5 linked regions of the Xenopus tropicalis genome follow. The protein of the gene in region 2 binds, or shares a complex with, the protein of the main gene of each other region. Links are inferred from orthologs where the notes say so. Each region holds a gene or a part of one and is shown on either strand. Other genes may lie near its edges.

What was found.
Region 1: the proteins of rpa1 (region 2) and dna2 are in contact, whole or in part, in a crystal structure (PDB 5EAY), measured with the Homo sapiens proteins. The link is inferred for Xenopus tropicalis from reciprocal best matches to the Homo sapiens genes RPA1 and DNA2. Residues at the interface, in NP_002936.1 of Homo sapiens: Asn29, Ile30, Arg31, Ile33, Arg41, Arg43, Leu44, Leu45, Ser54, Ser55, Met57, Asn85, Leu87, Lys88, Arg91, Val93, Ile95; in NP_001073918.2 of Homo sapiens: Glu6, Leu7, Glu8, Leu10, Met11, Lys13, Ser14, Phe15, Trp16.
Region 3: the proteins of rpa1 (region 2) and etaa1 are in contact, whole or in part, in a crystal structure (PDB 8JZV), measured with the Homo sapiens proteins. The link is inferred for Xenopus tropicalis from reciprocal best matches to the Homo sapiens genes RPA1 and ETAA1. Residues at the interface, in NP_002936.1 of Homo sapiens: Arg31, Ile33, Thr34, Pro39, Arg41, Arg43, Ser54, Ser55, Met57, Asn85, Leu87, Arg91, Arg92, Val93, Ile95; in NP_061875.2 of Homo sapiens: Thr599, Trp600, Glu601, Ala602, Asp606, Asp607, Leu609, Leu610, Tyr611, Ala613, Cys614, Asp615.
Region 4: the proteins of rpa1 (region 2) and helb are in contact, whole or in part, in a crystal structure (PDB 7XV1), measured with the Homo sapiens proteins. The link is inferred for Xenopus tropicalis from reciprocal best matches to the Homo sapiens genes RPA1 and HELB. Residues at the interface, in NP_002936.1 of Homo sapiens: Asn29, Ile30, Arg31, Ile33, Arg41, Arg43, Leu44, Leu45, Ser54, Ser55, Met57, Ala59, Thr60, Gln61, Arg81, Ile83, Asn85, Leu87, Arg91, Val93, Ile95, Met97, Glu120; in NP_001357214.1 of Homo sapiens: Glu496, Glu499, Val500, Lys502, Ala503, Cys504, Asp506, Phe507, Glu508, Asp510, Asn512, Ala513, Glu516, Trp517, Thr519.
Region 5: the proteins of rpa1 (region 2) and rad9a are in contact, whole or in part, in a crystal structure (PDB 8JZY), measured with the Homo sapiens proteins. The link is inferred for Xenopus tropicalis from reciprocal best matches to the Homo sapiens genes RPA1 and RAD9A. Residues at the interface, in NP_002936.1 of Homo sapiens: Asn29, Arg31, Ile33, Arg41, Arg43, Leu44, Leu45, Ser54, Ser55, Phe56, Met57, Asn85, Leu87, Lys88, Asp89, Arg91, Val93; in NP_004575.1 of Homo sapiens: Asp297, Phe298, Ala299, Asn300, Asp301, Asp302, Ile303, Asp304, Tyr306, Met307, Ile308, Met310.

Annotation. Positions count from the first base shown.
Region 1 is NC_030683.2:40,341,790-40,345,302, reverse strand, and holds part of dna2 (DNA replication ATP-dependent helicase/nuclease DNA2), read right to left. Parts: intron 2,571-3,513; coding exon 2,424-2,570; intron 1,594-2,423; coding exon 1,549-1,593; 3' UTR 1-1,548. UniProt on the Homo sapiens protein: Key enzyme involved in DNA replication and DNA repair in nucleus and mitochondrion.
Region 2 is NC_030678.2:36,031,587-36,035,099, reverse strand, and holds part of rpa1 (replication protein A 70 kDa DNA-binding subunit), read left to right. Parts: intron 1-1,386; coding exon 1,387-1,461; intron 1,462-3,314; coding exon 3,315-3,441; intron 3,442-3,513. UniProt on the Homo sapiens protein: As part of the heterotrimeric replication protein A complex (RPA/RP-A), binds and stabilizes single-stranded DNA intermediates that form during DNA replication or upon DNA stress.
Region 3 is NC_030681.2:30,919,087-30,923,274, reverse strand, and holds the start of etaa1 (ewing's tumor-associated antigen 1), read left to right. Parts: upstream 1-1,381; 5' UTR 1,382-1,414; coding exon 1,415-1,493; intron 1,494-3,005; coding exon 3,006-3,146; intron 3,147-4,188. UniProt on the Homo sapiens protein: Replication stress response protein that accumulates at DNA damage sites and promotes replication fork progression and integrity.
Region 4 is NC_030679.2:58,060,702-58,064,660, reverse strand, and holds the start of helb (DNA helicase B), read right to left. Parts: upstream 2,808-3,959; 5' UTR 2,750-2,807; coding exon 2,518-2,749; intron 1,283-2,517; coding exon 956-1,282; intron 1-955.
Region 5 is NC_030683.2:57,498,403-57,502,564, forward strand, and holds the start of rad9a (cell cycle checkpoint control protein RAD9A), read left to right. Parts: upstream 1-1,351; 5' UTR 1,352-1,392; intron 1,393-1,730; 5' UTR 1,731-1,807; intron 1,808-4,162. UniProt on the Homo sapiens protein: Component of the 9-1-1 cell-cycle checkpoint response complex that plays a major role in DNA repair. The 9-1-1 complex is recruited to DNA lesion upon damage by the RAD17-replication factor C (RFC) clamp loader complex.

The sequences.
Region 1 (3,513 bases), on a different chromosome or scaffold from region 2:
TATAAGTAATAAACTCAATATTATGGGTACTAGGGCTTTTATCTCTGCATATAATAATAGGCACCAGATGCTTGCCTCAGCTGAAACTTCTCACATGCTCAAAACATGGCATATAAACACTATCAGTTAGATAGCAAGTGATACATATGTAACCAAAGGGGGGTACGGATAGGTTAGAAATGTAAAAATAGAGTTGTAGTTGTACTGTTACTATTCAATTCAGTTCCAGTCTAAGGAAACAAATGACAATAAACAGCCACTCTAACAGGGGCTCTCTTCAAAGAAAGTAAAACAGTTACATTTATTCTACATGGTCATTATGAGAATGTGCCCCATGTACTCATGAATTGCATCTTTTAGGTTGATCACCTGCCATCACCATGGTAATTTGGATTTCTTGTGTTTTGGGTGGTGGGTAAAAATTCCCGAAACTGCTTCATGTGCCATTAGCCTAAACAGCTAACAAAACAGCACCATCTAGTGTTTATACAGATATGGAGCTGCTATATTAAAGCTTATTTAGACTGGTTTAGCAATGCTAGCAATATAACAAACTACGGTTAAATGGTTTGTGTCTGAAAGCAAAGCCTTAATTTGTTAAACAGTAAATGCAAATCAATTACAGAAAAAAACTAAAAAAATTTAGGACTGAGGCACAGCCTACTTTAAGGGGCAGATTTACCAAAATGTGAGATTAGAGCTCACCACAGAAAAATGTGCCCACTCTCTATTCATTTCTAATCGGTTTTTAAAAGAGTATTTATAAAATGGTGAACTCTAACTTTCACCCACTGATAAATATGCTTCAAAAAAATCCCAGTGGAATTAATAGAGTGGGTGAATGAGCTCTAATCATACAGTTTGTTAAATCTTTCCCAAAGTCAGCTTCTGATATATAAATTCTTCTACCTGCAAATTATTAAGGGGCAATAGAACTCATTTAACACGAGAAACTGAAATAACAAAACTGCTTTTACTTCAAAGTGCTAATTGATATTTTTCTCATTACTCTTAGGGCTATGGCACACAAGGAGATTTGTTACCCATGGAAAAACCTGCGCTACTCCAGGCAACAAATCTCTTACAAAATGCCTTGCAATTCACTAACCTTCAGATTGCTTCATTTAAAAAACAGATTACATGTGGCAATCCAGTTAATTGCTGGAATATGCTTACTTCCACATTTCTCTGCAATTAAATTGTGATTGGGTAATGTGCTTTACATGCAGAGATCTGAAGGTGAGAATGGTAAGGCATTTTTAGGTGATCTGTTACCCGCGGGTAGGGCAAACTTTCCTGGAGCAACATATCTCATTGCGTGCCATTGCCCTTACTCTCCCCCTTTGACTACTGTAGATTTAAATAATGATCTCTGTATAATAAGCCATCATTTCCCCAATTGCTACATTGTTCAACATAAGTTCCCCTAATTGTTCAACATGAGTTCAATGAAAAGAATTGTGTGCCCAGAACATCCTCCGTTCCAAGTGCTAACAAGGCACCTGTGAGAGCACAAATGGCTTCTTAACAGCATCAGAAAAGGCCTCTTCATACAGGCATATGCTCATGGGCGCCGGCTGGAAGATCATAAATGTGCTAGTGTCAAGGAAAAATTACAGAACAAGAGAACACTTAATACAGTAGGTACGAAGGCTGTCAGGGCCAGGGGCAACAAATAAACACTTATAGGAAAAGGAAAGGTAAAAACTAAGCTTTATCAGAAAGGTCTATGTAAATACAGCCATAAACACTCACAGAAACGCTGCACTGACTTCCCTGTCAAAAGAAACAGAATTCTTTGGTTTTCCTGTGCCAGAGACACACAGCTCTCTCCTCTCCCTCAAGAATGCTAAGAACTCACTCCTCCCGATAAGGAATGTGTGATCTGAGCCAATCAGCAGGAAGCTGACTCGGCATTTATTATGCGTCAAAACTGCAACAAATCTGAAAGTAAAAATACTCCATCTAAAAGCTGTTGAGGTTGCACAGAAATTAATGGCAGCTGTCCATTTTAAGTTGGCTAATCTGTTTGTTCTTATCTTGCTAATCCGCTTGTTTTGAATGTTTTTTCAAAAGGCTGTTTGAATAAATAACTTCGAATTTGTGGTTTTAGAGAAAATGAGCTTATTCGTAGTTTTAAAAATACTTAAAACCACTAAAATGAGATTGCTTTTAAATAAGCCTCTAACTGTTGCCATCTTGCCCTAGCTTGCTCTTCCTATTCACAAATACAGCTCTGCAGGGCCCCACTATGTTTGGAACCTAGCTCAGTCAAAACACTCTCCTTGAGACTAACTGAGCTAAATTCGGTTTTGATGAAGATGTTCAGCTATCCTTCATGCTATAAGGCCTAAAATGCAAGGCAGCACCACACTGGGTGAAGGGCCAGACCACAGGTTGCATAGTTAAATTAAAAAGGATATTAGATTTTTAGATTTTAGATGACATATCAGCTGCTCCAGGCAAAGAAAGCGGCTAAGGGTTGGAACGCAGCCCAACATGATCAGCTTGTGTTTGGCCCGTGTCAGCGCCACATTTAGCCTTCTCCAGTCTTTTAAAAGGTCTCCCAGCTGCTCCAAAAACAAAAAAAAATTGTTAGATCAAGAAGAAAAAATAAATAAATAATGCTGTCTCATGAGGAGTTTTATAAAGCGTATTTGCCATTTTATGTATAAATATATTATAAATGTGCGTGTGGTCATGGATCACTAGCCCCTTTCCCGACTGCATCTCCTACTTTCCGCAAAATAACAGTTTGCAGAGTAGCACAACATTGTTGATGGCCTCCATGTGAGGCCCGGCCATATACTTTCCAAGTTTTGCCTGTGCTGATCAGTGACTGTCACACTGGAATCAAGAATTAAAATACTAATGTAGGGAGTTTACTTGTAGTATGGCACGATCATAGCAATGTTTCACACTACATAAGTACTTTTTCAAGCTGACTTTATTAATCCTCTCTCAATTTGGGCAACGTGGCCAGCTCCCCTTCTCCCCCTCATGCACATGCGTGAATGTGAACGTACCAGTGGGCACTGGGGGGGGGGGGGGTGGGGGGAGGAAAGGCATGTGTCTAGTACCCCACCTCTTCTGCCTACACCTAGTTCCGGCCCTGGTCTGAAACATTGCTGTAATCATGCCATACTACAAGTAATGGTGGTTTTATGGTAATTTTAGGGAAAGCTGCATCATTTTGCTTTTAATATCCAGTCTACCTAATTCATTTTAAGCCCAGGAATGGGGGCCAGCCTCACGATTGGAGAACCACTGGTATATACTACGTAGCGGCATCAGCAAACAGTTTTATTTTTTCTATTTTTTGGGGACCCAGAAACCATGGGGTTAAATCCCCTCCCATCAGGAGCCAGAAATGTAACCCTCCCACCCCTATAACCCCCTTCCCAATCCCAGGCACTTCAGTTTTTTGAATGTCCTCGCAAACAGGAGGTTGGACAACAGTCTCCAGGAGACTTATGGCTTGAGAACATCCGGGGTGGTACCTGAGGGAGCCTG
Region 2 (3,513 bases):
GACCTACTGTTCATAATGTTGGTTGGAGGTTTCCAGTAAAGGTTAAAATCCAGTTATGTGTTATATCTTGCAAGTTAACAGTAGTACTCTGGGTTCAGCACAAATAGAATTTTTAATTTCTTTTACGGATTTAGGAAAAGTATTTATCTTTGTGTCACCACCCTGAAACCATAAAATCTTTAGCAATAGAGCCTCTACCCTGCAAGCCTTTAGTGACTCAAGATATTTGCCACCTGTTCAGAAAAATTATTAGGTCCATTAACCTCATTTACACGTTTGATAGAATTGTCAGATTCGTGCTGTGAGTTTTATTTGTTTACCGGTCCGTATTCCTGCTACTGTTCTTGGCAGTTGAACGAATGTGATTATGTATTGATTTTGAACCCCACGATAACTCATCTGCGACTGTGCTGTCTGCATATTGCTACATCTGTTATTCAAAGCCATCTGCTTCCTTGTGTTACAGAAATGTATCATTTTAAGTTGTTACCTTTGAAATAGAATGTGACGTACATTTTAGGGTGGCTTCACTGTTGAGTCATTTTCATGTGGCAACAATCGATAATGATTAAGACTAAATTTTTATTATTATTAAAGTATAGAATTTAGATCATAAGTGAATAGCCAAGGTTTGAAATATTATACTTATAGGGAAGATATAGACTTAATGGCTATATTAAAAGGTCAAGTTCACCCCCAAATTTGTCTTGCATAATGAAAGAAAATGTAATTCTAAGCAATTTTCCAGTATGCATTAATTAAAATATTTCAAATGATCTTGGTTATCTACAAATGTTACAGCAACTGAATGAAATTTGCTCCTTACTTTGCTTTTGCTACTTGCTCTGAACTCAAACCAACAAAAGCTTTTCGGTTGACTCTTTTACGCCAGGATTCCCATTCCTACAATGCTGTACATGTTCTGTAGGTAACAGACGTGAGGGTGAGGCTAACTAGGGTGCAAGGCATTGTGGGAAATGGTGCTTTGGCTACAGGAGAGCTGCTTGTTTTTAACGTGCCATCAGGTTAGGTCCATTCAGCAGTATAGTGCTGTCTGTATTTTTGTATGTTGCAAGCCAGTCTTAGGAGCATCTCCTCCATGTACTAGTGTGTTCATTTGGAGAACTGAATATTTATTGCAGGTGTCATATACTGAACCTGAATGTGAGAGTGTCTAATGTTGCTATAAATGAATGCTACTTTTGATAGGAGACTTCTCATAAAGGACCTTGTAGCCTATATTCATTCTTACTGCCTGTTCTACGTTACAACTCACTTGTCATTATTGCTTGTGCTGGAAGTACATTTTTAGAATGTGTTTACTATACAGGGAATGTTTGTCATCTGCCATCTGGTATGGTTTTACAAAGAGTTGATATTTTTCAGGGCAAGGACCACCACAGCCTGCTGCACCTGCTCCAGCTTCAGCCCCACCGCCTAGCAAACCACAGAACATTTCAGGTAAGCCTAAATGTAATGTGAAAAATGTTCTCCTTTATTCTGTAAAATGAACTGTACAATTTCTACTTTGGAAAGTACCCAGACATCATTTCAGTCAGTACTGGGGGGCTGGAAGAATTAGTGAGGAGAGTGTTGAATGCAATTTTGGGTTATTTGCAGATTTTGTACTCTGCTGTTAACTTGTATACACATGAAAATTTTTTTTGTAGTAAAAGTGTATTGTAAAGTATTGTTCTGCTGTTGTATGGCAACAAGGTCCGTATCTGTTAGCAGAATTGTATGTGTTCCGCCCTACTACAAAAAAATACATTAAATGATTGCTTCTTTGTTCAGGATTTCCATGTGGCTAGCAGTGAAAGGCATTTAAAGTAGGCAATGCATTTAAAGTACTACTATAATCTTAATGGAAAGTTTCTGAATTTGGCCTGTGATCACTTGGCACCCTACACAGCTTCATTGTTGAAGGGCTTTGCCTCGCATCAAATGGGGGCAACTCCAAAACTAGGGTTGTGGCTGGCCTAGTTCTTTAATATTTTTACTTAATAATCAATGGCCATTCTTACAAACCAACTTTAGTATTCCGCCATGTTTTGTATTGCAGGATGTTAGCTGCACCTGTAAATGGAAGCTTTGGGGCAAACTTAAAAAATGGTCATTCTCTATGGAAATTACCTTGATTATTCTGTATATAGTGCTATGTTTGTGTGCTATGTTTACATCCTTTGCTAAAAGTGATCACTTTATAAATTTAAATGTCATTTTATTTAAAAATGTTGCCATTATAAAGCACTTATATTGAAACTTGGTCTATTTTCATTGTATTACCTTTTATAAACAGGACAATTCGCTTAAAGCTCCCAATCTTTCCTTTAACAAAAAACCCCTCCCTTCTTTAAGCAGCAGTCTTTGAGCAGCTTATTATCAGGGGGTTTCTGTTTTATCACCTCCTCTAAGGTTCTTTAGTACTTGCTGTCACTTCATGATTCCAAAGTGAAACTGGCTTCATATTTCTTGTTCAGTACCATAAATAACAGCAACTATAGATTCTTAATTCCAGACAATAGGCAAAGAGCATGTTCAGCACAAGCCCTGTTCATTCAGCTCATGTTGAAAAGTGGCATATACTGTCCCTTTAGGGCTCTGGCACATGGGGAGATTAGTCGCCCGCGACAAAACTCCCTGTACGCGGGCGACTAATCTCCCCGAGTTGCCTTACCCTGCCATCCCACCGGCGAAAATGTAAATCGCCAGTGGGATGGCACACGCGGCGGCGCATATCGCCGAAGTTGCCTCGCGAGGCTTTCTAGGCGATTTGCGCAAAATCGCGCAGCTGCATGTGCCATCCCACCGGCGATTTACATTTTCGCTGGTGGGATGGCAGGGTAAGGCAACTCGGGGAGATTAGTCGCCTGCGAACAGGGAGTTTTGTCGCGGGCAACTAATCTCCCCGTGTGCCAGAGCCCTTAAGTGTAAAGGCTACATGCTAAGGCTGTGGAAGCCTTGTGGTTAAACATCCAGAGATATACAGTGGCCCTTTCTAAGCTGAATTCCCCATAATTATCTGCATTGCAGGCAGCCTTACTGTGTATGTGAGTATGCTATCTAATCTTCCTCTGCTAGGCCCCTGGATAGCTCTTTATTTTATCTGCATGATTCCTCTTGGGCCTTGTGGGCTCTTTAGTTATTTTTACTTCAATGTATTATGGAGACATAAAAGCTTATGCGGTTTCTGACTGGAGGGTTGACCAGTGCACTTTTGTTATGTGTGTCTAATAGTTCTACATCTTTAAGTACTCTGTTTTACTTTGTAATCATCCCTAAGAGTTTGCTATGGATTTTTTTTCTTCCCACAGCTCCTCCTCCTCCATCAATGAACAGAGGAGCATCTAAATTGTTTGGGGGGGGAAGTGTTGTAAACACACCTGGGGGCTCTCAGTCCAAGGTAGTGCCTATTGCAAGTCTCAATCCTTACCAGTCCAAGTAAGTGCCGTTCTCCTCAAGGGTTAAACTTTTATTTGCATTATATTGAATTGTTTTTGCATATAATCTGTT
Region 3 (4,188 bases), on a different chromosome or scaffold from region 2:
CATTGAGCTCTATGGGAGACTTTCCTTGGGCCAGGTTGGAGCTGCAGAGTGCCATTGAGCTCTATGGGAGACTTTCCTTGGGCCAGGTTGGAGCTGCAGAGTGCCATTGAGCTCTATGGGAGACTTTCCTTGGGCCAGGTTGGAGCTGCAGAGTGCCATTGAGCCCTATGGGAGACTTTCCTTGGGCCAGGTTGGAGCTGCAGAGTGCCATTGAGCCCTATGGGTGACTTTCCTTGGGCCAGGTTGGAGCTACAGAGTGCCATTGAGCCCTATGGGTGACTTTCCTTGGGCCGGGTTGGAGCTGCAGAGTGCCATTGAGCCCTATGGGAGACTTTCCTTGGGCCAGGTTGGAGCTGCAGAGTGCCATTGAGCCCTATGGGAGACTTTCCTTGGGCCGGGTTGGAGCTGCAGAGTGCCATTGAGCCCTATGGGAGACTTTCCTTGGGCCAGGTTGGAGCTACAGAGTGCCATTGAGCCCTATGGGAGACTTTCCTTGGGCCAGGTTGGAGCTGCAGAGTGCCATTGAGCCCTATGGGTGACTTTCCTTGGGCCAGGTTGGAGCTACAGAGTGCCATTGAGCCCTATGGGTGACTTTCCTTGGGCCGGGTTGGAGCTGCAGAGTGCCATTGAGCCCTATGGGAGACTTTCCTTGGGCCAGGTTGGAGCTGCAGAGTGCCATTGAGCCCTATGGGAGACTTTCCTTGGGCCGGGTTGGAGCTGCAGAGTGTCATTGAGCTCTATGGGAGGCTTCCAAAATCATGCTAAGTCTGAAAGTTTTGCCCGCAGGTTACGAGCGCTCAATACGAAAAAGTTGCGACAAGATACGAGCATATCGTAACGGCTACGAAAAAGTGGCGACTATTCGTGCAAGTCGTAACGGCTACGAAAAAGTCGCGACAATTTACGAAAAAATCGCAAAAAGTACGAAAAACTCGCAAAACGTTCGTTTTACAATCGGAATTTTTCCCATTCGGATTCAAATTCGTGTCTTAGTAAATCAGCCCTATAATGTGTATTGCCCTTTAGTGAGGCAAAGACTCCAGTGGAAGCCATTGAGTTATAGCCAGTACCCACCTGGCAAAGAAAAAATGTAGGTTATTTGTTCTATTGAGAAAACATAAAGTGCTAAGTTTAAGTCATATATTTGTAGCTGAGTCAGTGGGCATATTATTGGGAAAAAAAACCCAAAATACATAGAAAGTAGCCACAGCCTGCCATACACACAGCAAACTACCGGCTTGTCATTACATAACACATACAGAGGATTGCCCTCATTCCCTAACAAAGCTGTACGTACCGCGTCACCGCGCTTATAGACGTATTCGTGCGCCGCACTCTCGCGAGATGAGACTTGTGACGTCAGTACTCGGTGCCAGGCAGGAGCTGCTGAGCTGGATGTTACCGGAGTAGCGGGATGTTTAAGCAGCGGTGCGGGGCTGCGGGCTGTGTAAGGAAAGTTGGGACTGCCCCGCAGGAAGCGGCACTTTCCGGGGGTAGGCATTTCTCTGCAGCGGTTCGCTCTCTATTGTAAATGGGTTGAAAGACTCTACTTCCGGTGCCTGGAAGATTGTAAATCTGCTGCGGGTTTATGTGCGGAGGGTAAAGCTGCTCTGTTAGTTTTAAAGAAAAAATCGCTTATTTAGTTAGAGAAGAGCGTTTCACTGCTGCCAGTGTTGGTATCGCTGTGCCCTGCCCCCATCCATCCCTTAGCCGCAAGCCAGGGGGACCCTGAACCCCAGGAGAGCTTCTGGGGAGGGAGAGATTTGTACCTAGAGGAACAGTCCCTATGGCCGTCCTCTGGAGTTGCCTCTGTGCAGGACAGGCCTACCCTACTACTGACAGCCTGACCTGCAGACGTGCATAATAAGAGTCCTGCCATCTCCTTGGTTCTTCTGTACTTCTTCCCTTGGTCTAAGTCTCATATACATTATAGGAACTTTTACTTTACTTGGATAAATGGGAAAACCCTAACCCTGTAGGCAGTTATGAATAATATATGGTGTTGGTTTCACTTTGGGCTAAACATTATTGGAGCTCCCTATAGATCCACTCAGGTCCATATCTGTGTTTCAAATGAAGGGTGGGCGTGTCCTAACGGTCCCTGCCAGAAGCACAGTAAGAGGGGGAGAGCCAATCACAGCCCTGCAGTCACACAAGCAAAGACAGGCTTCAGTTCCCTATCAGGTCAGCCTAGCTGCTGATTGGTTCCTATCCTACAGTGCAGGGTACGGAGGGCCGCCGGCTCCCCAGCTCATCCAGAGAATTTAGCCAGCAGGAAGTGGAACAGATGGGCGGGGCTAGTGGGGTTTTGGGCGAATTTCTCAATAAATCAGTCAGAAACACAACTTTTTTAAGCACAATCCTTCTATATCTAGAGGAGTATAATTCATTGGTACATTCATTATTTTTATAGGATATGTCTCCTTTAATGAAAGGAGAAGGAAAGCCTAAGTCACTTGGGGGTGCCAAATGTTAGGCACCCCCAAGTGACTTTAATCGCTTACCTTGTATCCTGGGCTGGTGCCCCTGTTAGGAGAAAACAGCACCAGCCCGGGGTACCTGCAGGGAGTGTTTCCTCTTCCTCTCTCTTCTGCCGGCGAAATCCGTGGGCCGGCGCATGCGCAGTAGAGTGAAAAGCCGACTTTCTTGTTTAAGTTTGGCTTTTCACTCTACTGCGCATGCGCGCGCGGCGCTACAGGAAGGAGGAAGCGCTCGCTGCTACCCCGGGCTGGTGCTGTTCTCTCCGTACAGGGGCACCAGCCCGGGGTAAAATGTAAGCGATCTAAGTCACTTGGGGGTGCCTAACATTTTGGCACCCCCAAGTGACTTAGCCTTTCCTTCTCCTTTAAGGGTACTACAGAACATGTACTGTATTTGTAATGCAATATAAAGATATAATACTGAGTTCTGTCAGTTTTTGATTCATTCATATACAGCCCATTGTGTTTCTAGTGTGATGAGTGCATCGCTTAATAGTGTTTGTTTCTCTTTAACCGTTCCCGTAGAATCAACTTCGTACAAGAAAACTCCAAAAAGGTTGTCTAGAAGCAAACACTCCTCTCCAGCTTTCAATTCTCCCTCCAATGACATTGATCAACAACATGAAATCTTTTGGGATCCATATTCGCCGACAGCGTTTAAAATCGGTAATGTTTGCTGCGTAGGCATATTGGTAATGTTTTGTGCATAGGCAGATTTCATACACTGTCTGAGCAGACTTTCTGCAATCCAATAGTAACAAATACACCCATACAGTTGGGCATTAAGGTTAAATTCGATCAAATTTTCAGGCCAAACTGGTCATATGTATGCAACTGTGTCGCTGATTCCTGTTTTTGCTACAGGTAGCACTGTTACTAGGTTTTCTCGAGCATGTTTTAGAAACTTCTAACCGCCATATTATGCAATTTTCTTAATGGAATTAAAGTGACAGATAAGTGGTGCTCGCAGTTTTCTGAAAACCTGCTTTGTTAAAAATCTGCTCTCACCGAGGTTTACAATTAGCTGTTTCACACACATATTGGGAATTTAATGTTACCTGATGGCTAGGTCCCATTTAACCTGGCAGCCAGTGGCCTAAATGACGTACCTGGAAAAAACTAATCCCTAAATAAATAAGTAGTAATAAAACCTCACTGATCTGCTTTGTTTTAGTTAGTTTACCTTTCAGTTAACATTTATTAGGATGTAGCCAGTGATATACTTAGACAATTTGCAATTAGTCTTAAATCTTTTATTTTGTGGATTTTAAATATTTTAACTTTTTTTTCAGCAGCTCTCCAATTTAAAATAACAGCGATAATAAAATTGCCAAAATAAGGCAAATAAAAACAATAAAAAATGTAGACCAACTGAAAAATTGCTAATAACATGGCATTCTTTAATTCACAAAACATTAAATTAATGGTGAACTACGCCTTTAAAGAAACACTAACTATACATTTGCTAGCGAACGTGATGCTGTAATATAGAAGCTCTGCACCTCTTATATGTGGCTTGGGGATAGTACCTCTGTTCCATTACATATTGGCAACCATACCACTTGAATGCTGAATGGCTGTTTATTTTATTAGCTACATAAATCCTGGTTTTGGTATTTTTGGAGATAATGTTGTACATTGTAGTGTTCATATATAAATAGAAATACAATGCTATAGGCACAAAAATGCCAGTGCAGTTATTATTGGG
Region 4 (3,959 bases), on a different chromosome or scaffold from region 2:
AACAGCAGATACCAAACAGAAGAATTTGGATAACATCATTCAGTCTGTTCTCTACCTTTTCTCTGACCAATGTTAATGTCTCATTGTGTTGCTGTCTAATTATCCATACTTGTATTGGCAGTTTTGTTATAACACCAGGATGGATACGATATGGAGACTTTTTACAATTCTAACTCCCTCTTCTGCCCAAAAGGGAGGGACCCTTTATCACTGTTCAGGTCTGGAAGCAATTGGAATTTACAGATAATAATGAAATACCCACATCAGTAATACTATATGTAAAGGACAAAATAATCTATTTTATCCACAAACATTTGCCAACAGGAAACTGTTCCCAAAAAATAAACACAGGACATGAAACCACCTTCTGCTCTGATCTGCTTTATGCATCAACCTGGGTGCAGACACACGGAGCAGACTTCAGCACCAAAATGCTTGAGTGTGCATTTTCTTACTTAAATTTACTGTGTCTTCCCCCAGAATGAAGCAGTGCCTCTGGTTGCAAACGCAACATAAGGCAGATTTGAGCAAAAGTGCAGTTTCTTGGCCTGTGCTTATATGCAGGCAGAGAAAACATCTGTGTGGCAGCAGCCTAAAATTGTAACTGATTCTGTTAAATAATGTCTATGTTTTGTGAAGTCTATTACAGTAATTTCCTTTAAAAGTTGCCCATGTTACATATAGAATTGGTGTTCCTTGTACATACAATTAATACGTTTAAGTATAGTATAAGTACTAAAGAGTGACCAAACTCCAGGATTACTTAATCAACATATAGATATTGTTTTCCTGATTACAATGGTTCAATTGATAGATCCTTCCAAATTCTGTCAATTGAACCATTGTTCTGCATCCCCACCCCAGACCTTATAACATGTTATCTACAGCATCAAAAATACAGTCTGGAGAACAGCAACAGTCACATTATTCTGAAAATAATTTTTTTTTTTTTTACCTGAACTTTCAATATTTATTTTATTACTTGAATTGTTCATCTGAAATTCTTCTATGAGTTTTTTCAGGTTGTCAAAAGTCAATGTTGCATCACTTGGTAACCAGTTGATAAATGTTTGTTTTGTATCATCATGAACTTTACAGGCATGGAGGAAAAGAGAAAGTATATCCTTGCTCATGTCATTCTCAAGAGCGTATGAAGGATATCCTTGTGCAAAGTACTGCGTCCCATCACGTTTCACTTTTAGTTTTACAGACCACCAAGGATCTACCAATGGAAAAAATCCACTCACTCGATATTCAGGTCCATATTTATCTTTAATAATCACTATTTAAAAAGAAAAAAAAATACGTAATCAAAAAAACTAACATGCATTAAAATCTGAACGCTCCACAAGGTAAACACATAAGTACGGGCACAACTGTACTCCCCTAGGCCATCTTGATAGGGACCAGTGACTGCAGTCCTGCACATACTATTCATAAGGCTGATATAACTATGCTGTGGCACAGGAATAGATACCAATATACGGTCTGCAAACTGTATATAGAGAAAATACACTCAATCTGCAATGAGCCTCATGGCGAGTTTGGCATAGCATTTACACGCTTAGCAAGAACCATCTGAATAAGTGCAGTTCTATAACTTATCAATACTTAGCAAAATGTTGAAACATAAGTGCTTGACGTTGTAGTGGCATTAACTCAAATGAATTTTTAGCAGACTTATGTAGAAGCATAAAGATCAAAATGATGGAAAGGCCACTTATCCAGAAATCCCCATATCCCAAACATTCTGGAACAGAGATACCATGTGACAAAGTGCCATAGGTGAGTTGTGCTAAACCAGACCATAATATGCCAAACGACATTACATGTCTAGGTTATAACTTTGCAATTTGGTTCTGACTACACACTTCAACGAATGTAACAGCAGAATCAATATTCCAAAGCCTATTATCGTCATACGCTATTAGTTACTTTTAACATTTTAACTGGCCAGGTGCCAAAGGGATATGATTACTGTGGGCTTTATGCCCCAGTATTAGTTCTCAGATCCCAGCCATCATTATTAGCGACAGGAGTGAAGGTTGTCATCTTTAAGGAGACATATTGGATAAATGTGAAATTTTGAAGGCAATTATGAATAATATATGGTGCTCAAATTAATCCTATCTGTAAAAATGACTCCTTTATTGGAGCTCCCTACAGATCCTATCAGTTCTCTGACAATGTATGAAATAAAGGGTGGGCGTGTCCTAAAATCCCTACCAGAAGCACAGCAGGAGAGGGAGAGCCAATCACAGCCCTGCAGTCACAAGCACAGCGGGCTTCAGTTCCCTATCAGGTCAGCCTAGCTGCTGATTGGTTCCTATGGTACAGTGCAGTGTGCTGAGAGGCTCCCCTGCACATCCAGAGAATTCAGCCAGCAGGAAGTGTGAAATACAACTTTTTTAAGCACAATCCTTCTATATCTAGAGGAGTATAAGTCACTGGTACATTCATAATTTTTATAGGCTATGTCTCCTTTAACAGTGAGCCCAAGCAGTAAAATATACCCACCCACAGTTCTGCGCAGCGGGGTAGATTGTACCACCATGCCCCCTCCTTCTATCTCTCTGGCATCCATGAACTGGGGATCATCCCCATCGCTGTCATCGGGATCGCTCTCCTCCCGTTTGTGCGCCACTTCCCCATCTTTCACTGGCAGCAGACGGCCCTGTAGCACCGTGCAGCCATCCCCTCTGCGCCCCCGGGCACTCAGCGAGCGGGACGGGTGAAGCTTTGCGCTCATTTTTGAGTTTCACAAAGATCCGCCTTATTTTCCCGAGAAATGACATCACTGTAAGGGCGGAAGTAAGGGGAAGCAGGTCCGGCTAGTTCTGCCCTGCTTGCTCTGAATGGTAATTCGCAGCATCCTAACTGTAACTATGTATGCTAAGTGTTAAAGCTGATTTCTGAACTGAAGAACAGGATAAAAATAATGGCTCCGGCTCTATCGCGACACATTATAATGAACATTGGTTCTTCTGTACTTACGTGCATGCGTAAAAATGTTTTTTTTTGTGTTACTGATCCTTTAACTACACTAACTTGTTGACCGCACACATACACACATACTAAATTTAGTAATTAAAAATTCTATTTTACATTGCTGGAAATTCAGAACCAGAAAGGGTGGCCCCTCCCCATTTTATGACATATTGTAGCCTAAGCATTTCATAAACACAATATGAGTTCAGTATTTGGAGTACAAGGTTAATAATACGGGAATATCAGAATTGTGTAACCTTCCAGACACTTCTGTACTGCAACTCCCATTATGAGGATCAAGTGGAAGGAAGCACATAGGCAGAACTTATCCCATTCCCTGTCATTCAGATGTGCAAGTTTGGGAGTACCAGTGAGATCAAAGAATCCCTGTAGTGGTATAGCTAAGGACAGGGCTGCCTTGTGCCTCCACAAATAATTAATATAAGACATATACTTTACAATGGAAACCAGAGCAAAGTTCCGTTTCTGACTCTCTCCATTGTATCTATTGAAATATTCTTATAGCATGCTGTAAGAGGAGCACAGGATGAGTGTATTAGGACAAGGGCTTTTGCAAGGACAGGCCTCTCAATTGCACTTTTTCACTAGGCACCTGCCTAGGGCGCAACAGTAGGTGGGCACCAGGCAGGTCCCTCTTTTTTCACTTACCCCTATTTCTGTGCCCTTTACCCCCACCGCACACCCCCTCCAGTGCCCCCACTGGCTGGTGGCTCTCTCAGGCAGGGGAAGCTATAAAAGGGGAAAGCCAGTATAACACTTTCTCTTTACCTGATGAGAAGAGGATAATATGTGATACCAGGGAGCCTGAGTTAGGCCATCTCAGAGAGGTAACTGGCAGAGCTAGTTAGGTAGATAGTGGTAGGTTATATTTGTTGGAGGCTCCAACGAGATGAGAGAGACCTGTGTCCCGGCAGTACCTCACTCAGTTAGGGACCCAAAGGACGAGGGAC
Region 5 (4,162 bases), on a different chromosome or scaffold from region 2:
ATAACTACAGACCTCACCTGCTGCCACAGCCCACTCACATCATAGGTAGGTCTAGTTTCCCTACACACTGCTCTAGAGTCAAATACCCCCACAGACATAAACCTACCACAGCTCATGTAATCTCACCACACACTGTACCTCCCCCACTAGCACATCTAAATACTTATGCCACCCATATTACTAACACAATCTCCCCTCAATATTCTGGGTAAAAAAAAAAAGCACAACCGAAATTTTAAGCAAATGTAGGGACCCATAGGGTTAAATGCCCTATGGAGTGATATCCCTACCTCTTCACATAGATCCCTTGTTACTGGAAGCCTTTGTAACAGTTTATAGTTATGCCTATACTTTATTGGCCCATATGGTTGTCCACACTCCTTGCAGCCTCATATAATGTCTAGCAAGGAGGTGTGGCTGCCTGTCTGCTTCCCAACAACAGCTCCATTGAGCCTGGGTGCAGACATAGGCCCCAGTAAGCCATATTCTTTGAAGTAAAGTCGGGGACAGGGCCCCGTGAACGAGGTAAAGTTAGTCTCAGGACTAGACTCTGTCATAGCACACTCTAGGGGGCTGATTTACTAATCCACGAATTCGAATGGGAAAAATTCGGATTGGAAACGAACATTTTGCGACTTTTTCGTATATTTTGCCTTCCACTTAGCGAAGGCCACCCCTTTGAAATAGAGTCCCAATGTGCCCCATGCTCTAACCATAGCCTGGCATTTAAAGTGCTTTTTAGCCAAAAAGGGGTTACATACACAAAACCTCCCCCAAAATTATCTAACATGCCAAAAACATAAGCACACTCCAAAACTCTTCCCCATAGTTTAAAATTGTGCAACACGTCAACCCAGCTGGAAAAAAAAAATCAATAACCACCCTTCAAAAAAATGCACACCCCCAAAACTCATCAGCACCCTTACCCCAAAAAATACAAGCACTCCACATATAAGCAGGCTCCAACAACCCCCTAAAATTAAGGGCACACACCTTACATAGAATAGATCCACAGCCTCCACTGAACATCAAGTGTCCCAGTATTCAGGCAACTGAATAAACTCCTACATTTAATTCTGTCCCAAGAAAAAAATAATGCTACCCAGCGCAACCCAATACTCAATAGCGCACTGTGACACTACTTTTAATGAGCCATTCTCTCCATAGCATCCCCGAGTAACCACCTATAATCTATTTACACAGGCATTTGAAGAAGGCGCTGAATGTTACGTGTTGGAGACGTCGCCACGTCTTCACGTGTTTGTGACGTCACTCACGGCCACAGGAACTAGATATATAAATGGCTTTTGGAAACCGTTTAAGACCGAGTCGGGACTGAGGGCTGAGTTAAGAGAAGCGGACCTGTCCAGCTAAAAGCGGGACTATTGGGCGGTATGTGAGCGGGGCCGACCTTTAAAATTAGTTGATAGTATATCCTTTTTCTGAAAAGGAGAACGTTTAGACTAAAGCGTAAGATGGTACAACTCGTTACTTTAAGACCAAAAACCTCCAAATAAGTTGTCTTGAATATGCCTTTGGATCAGCACGAACGTACATGCAGTCGTCATTTAGAGGCATTAATGCTTAACAATTTTAATTGGCTAGTTGTTAAAATTTGACCTACACGAATGCATTAATCCATAGAAATGCATATTATGGGTCTCTACTGAACTGGTAACAATACTTTCAAATACGCATTATGACTATTTTTTTAATTTTTTTTTTTTAAGCTGTAGTGCAAGAGGAAGTTCTCTAAATGAAGATTGAAGGGGTTCTCCTTTCAAAAACTTGTTTTGCTTATAGAAAGGTAATGCAATTCTAATTAACTGTCCAATATACTTTATTTACAAACTTTCAGTAGTTTTAAAGTGATTTGTTAATGTAATATCTAAAAAGCTTTATTTGTCTTGCTTACATTCTCTGCACTCCTGGCTTTGATTTTGGAGCAATAATACAAGGCAGCTGGATAAAAATACCTAGAGGAGACCTGACCCTGTAACATTGTTTTAAGAGTAAAGGTGGCCATACACGCACCAATAATATCGTACGAAACCTCGTTTCGTACGATATTCGGTGCGTGTATGGTATGTCGGCGAGTCGACCGATATCGCAGGAAGCTGCTGATATCGGCCGACTCGCCGATCGGACCAGTTTGAAAATTTTGATTGGGCGCCATAGAAGGCGCCTGACCAAAATCTCCCTTCAGCGCTGAATCAGCAGAAGGAGCAGAAGGAGGTAGAAATCCTATTGTTTCTACCTCCTTACCGATGGTTGCACGAAACATCGTCAGATTGCCACGTGTATGGCCAGCTTAAGACCCAGACAATAGAAAGGGATAGAGAATTACTGCTTTTATTTGCAATTCCATGTACAGGTAATATAGTGTAAGGTGCATAGATAGGGAAGAAACTTTGTGATGTTACATGTCTCTGTGTATTGAAATTGAATAAATGGGCTTAAAGGAAAAAGAAAGTCAAAGTCACTTGGGGGTGCCAAAATGTTAGGCACCCCCAAGTGACTTTGACCACCTACATTTTACCCCGGGCTGGTGCCCCTGTGAGGAGGGAACAGCACCAGCCCGGGGTAGCTGCCGGCGCTTGCCTCTGCCTGATTCGCTGCGCGTGCATGCGCAGTAGAGTGAAAAGCCGAACTTAAACTTTAAAGTCGGCTTTTCACTCTACTGCGCATTCGCCCACCGCTGGCATTCCAGAAACGGAAGCCGGAATAAGGAAACGATCCGCTCCAGGTGCCCCGGGCTGGTGCTATTTTCTCCTAACAGGGGCACCAGCCCGGGGTACGAGGTAAGCGGTTAAAGTCACTTGGGGTGCCTAACATTTTGGCACCCCCAAGTGATTTTACCTTTCGTTTCCCTTTAAATGAGAAGGAAAGGCTAATAGTTAATTTCAAGCTGCAGGCATACCTTCAGTTTTCTCAATAGTGCCTTTAAGTCCCCCCATATTTCTCCTGTTCAGATGATCAGAAACCTCATAGGAAAAAAAAAATCTAAGCTTTGAAAAGAAAGTTCCCATAATTCCTCACTCCTGGACCGAGACCATTGTACATGCTCAGTTTGTAAGACGATGAGGAAGTTTCCTACTGATTGGCTCAGATCACACATTTCTAAGAGGGGGGGGGGGAAGTGAGTTCTTAGCATTCTTGAGGGAGGGGGAGAGAGCTGCATGTCTCTGGCACAGGAAAACAAAGACAACAAATCCTGTTTCTTTTGAGAGAACTCAGTGCAGTGTTTTTATAGACCTTTCCCTTTCTGATAAATACTTTCAGCTTAAAGGAGACATATTGGAAACATTGAAAAAACCCCAATTTTGTAGGCAATTATGAATAATATATGGTGCTGATTTCACTTTTGGCTAAATTGAACACTGTCAAAAATGGCCCCTTTATTGGAGCTCCCTATAGATCATCTCAGGTCTCTGTCAGGACATGCCCACCTTTCATTTGAAATGATGTGATGTGCAGTGTCATTTTTTCATCTGACCAAGCTTCAACATGTTTTTTCTTTAGCAGTGGTGTCTTGCGCGTTGAGCCTGCAAAGAGGCCATGTTGGTTGAGTGCATTACTTATTGTTTTTTTTAAACAACTGTACAAGGTGTTTCTGAAGCTCTCCATGAGTGATCCTTGGCTCTTGGACAATTTTTCTGATTATTCTTTTGATTACTCTGTCAGAAATATTGGGAGGAACACCTGGTCGTGCCCTTTTAATGTGAAATGATGTTCTTTCCTCTTCCGGGTTATGGCCCCAACTGTGCTCACTGGAACATTCAGAAGCTTAGAAATACATCTATAACTAATGCCATCAGTATGTATTGCAACAATAAGGTTGCAAAGGTCTTGAGAGAGCTCTTTGCTATTACCCATCATGAGATGCTTCTTGTGTGATACCTTGGTAATGAGAAACCATTTATTAGGACTAAGCCAGCTGAAATTATTTTGCACTGATAGGGGGCAGGATTGCTTTCAAAATACTGACAAATGTCAGCAGGTTTCTTTGCTTTCCATGCCTCTTCTTCATGTGTTCAATACTTATTCCCTGTGTCATTCCACTTTATTACACATAACTTAATTTAAAGACTTATTTGTTTTGATTTCTTTGTATGTGTGGATTTCTTGGGTTGTTACCAATATCTGGTGTAAATTTCATGTC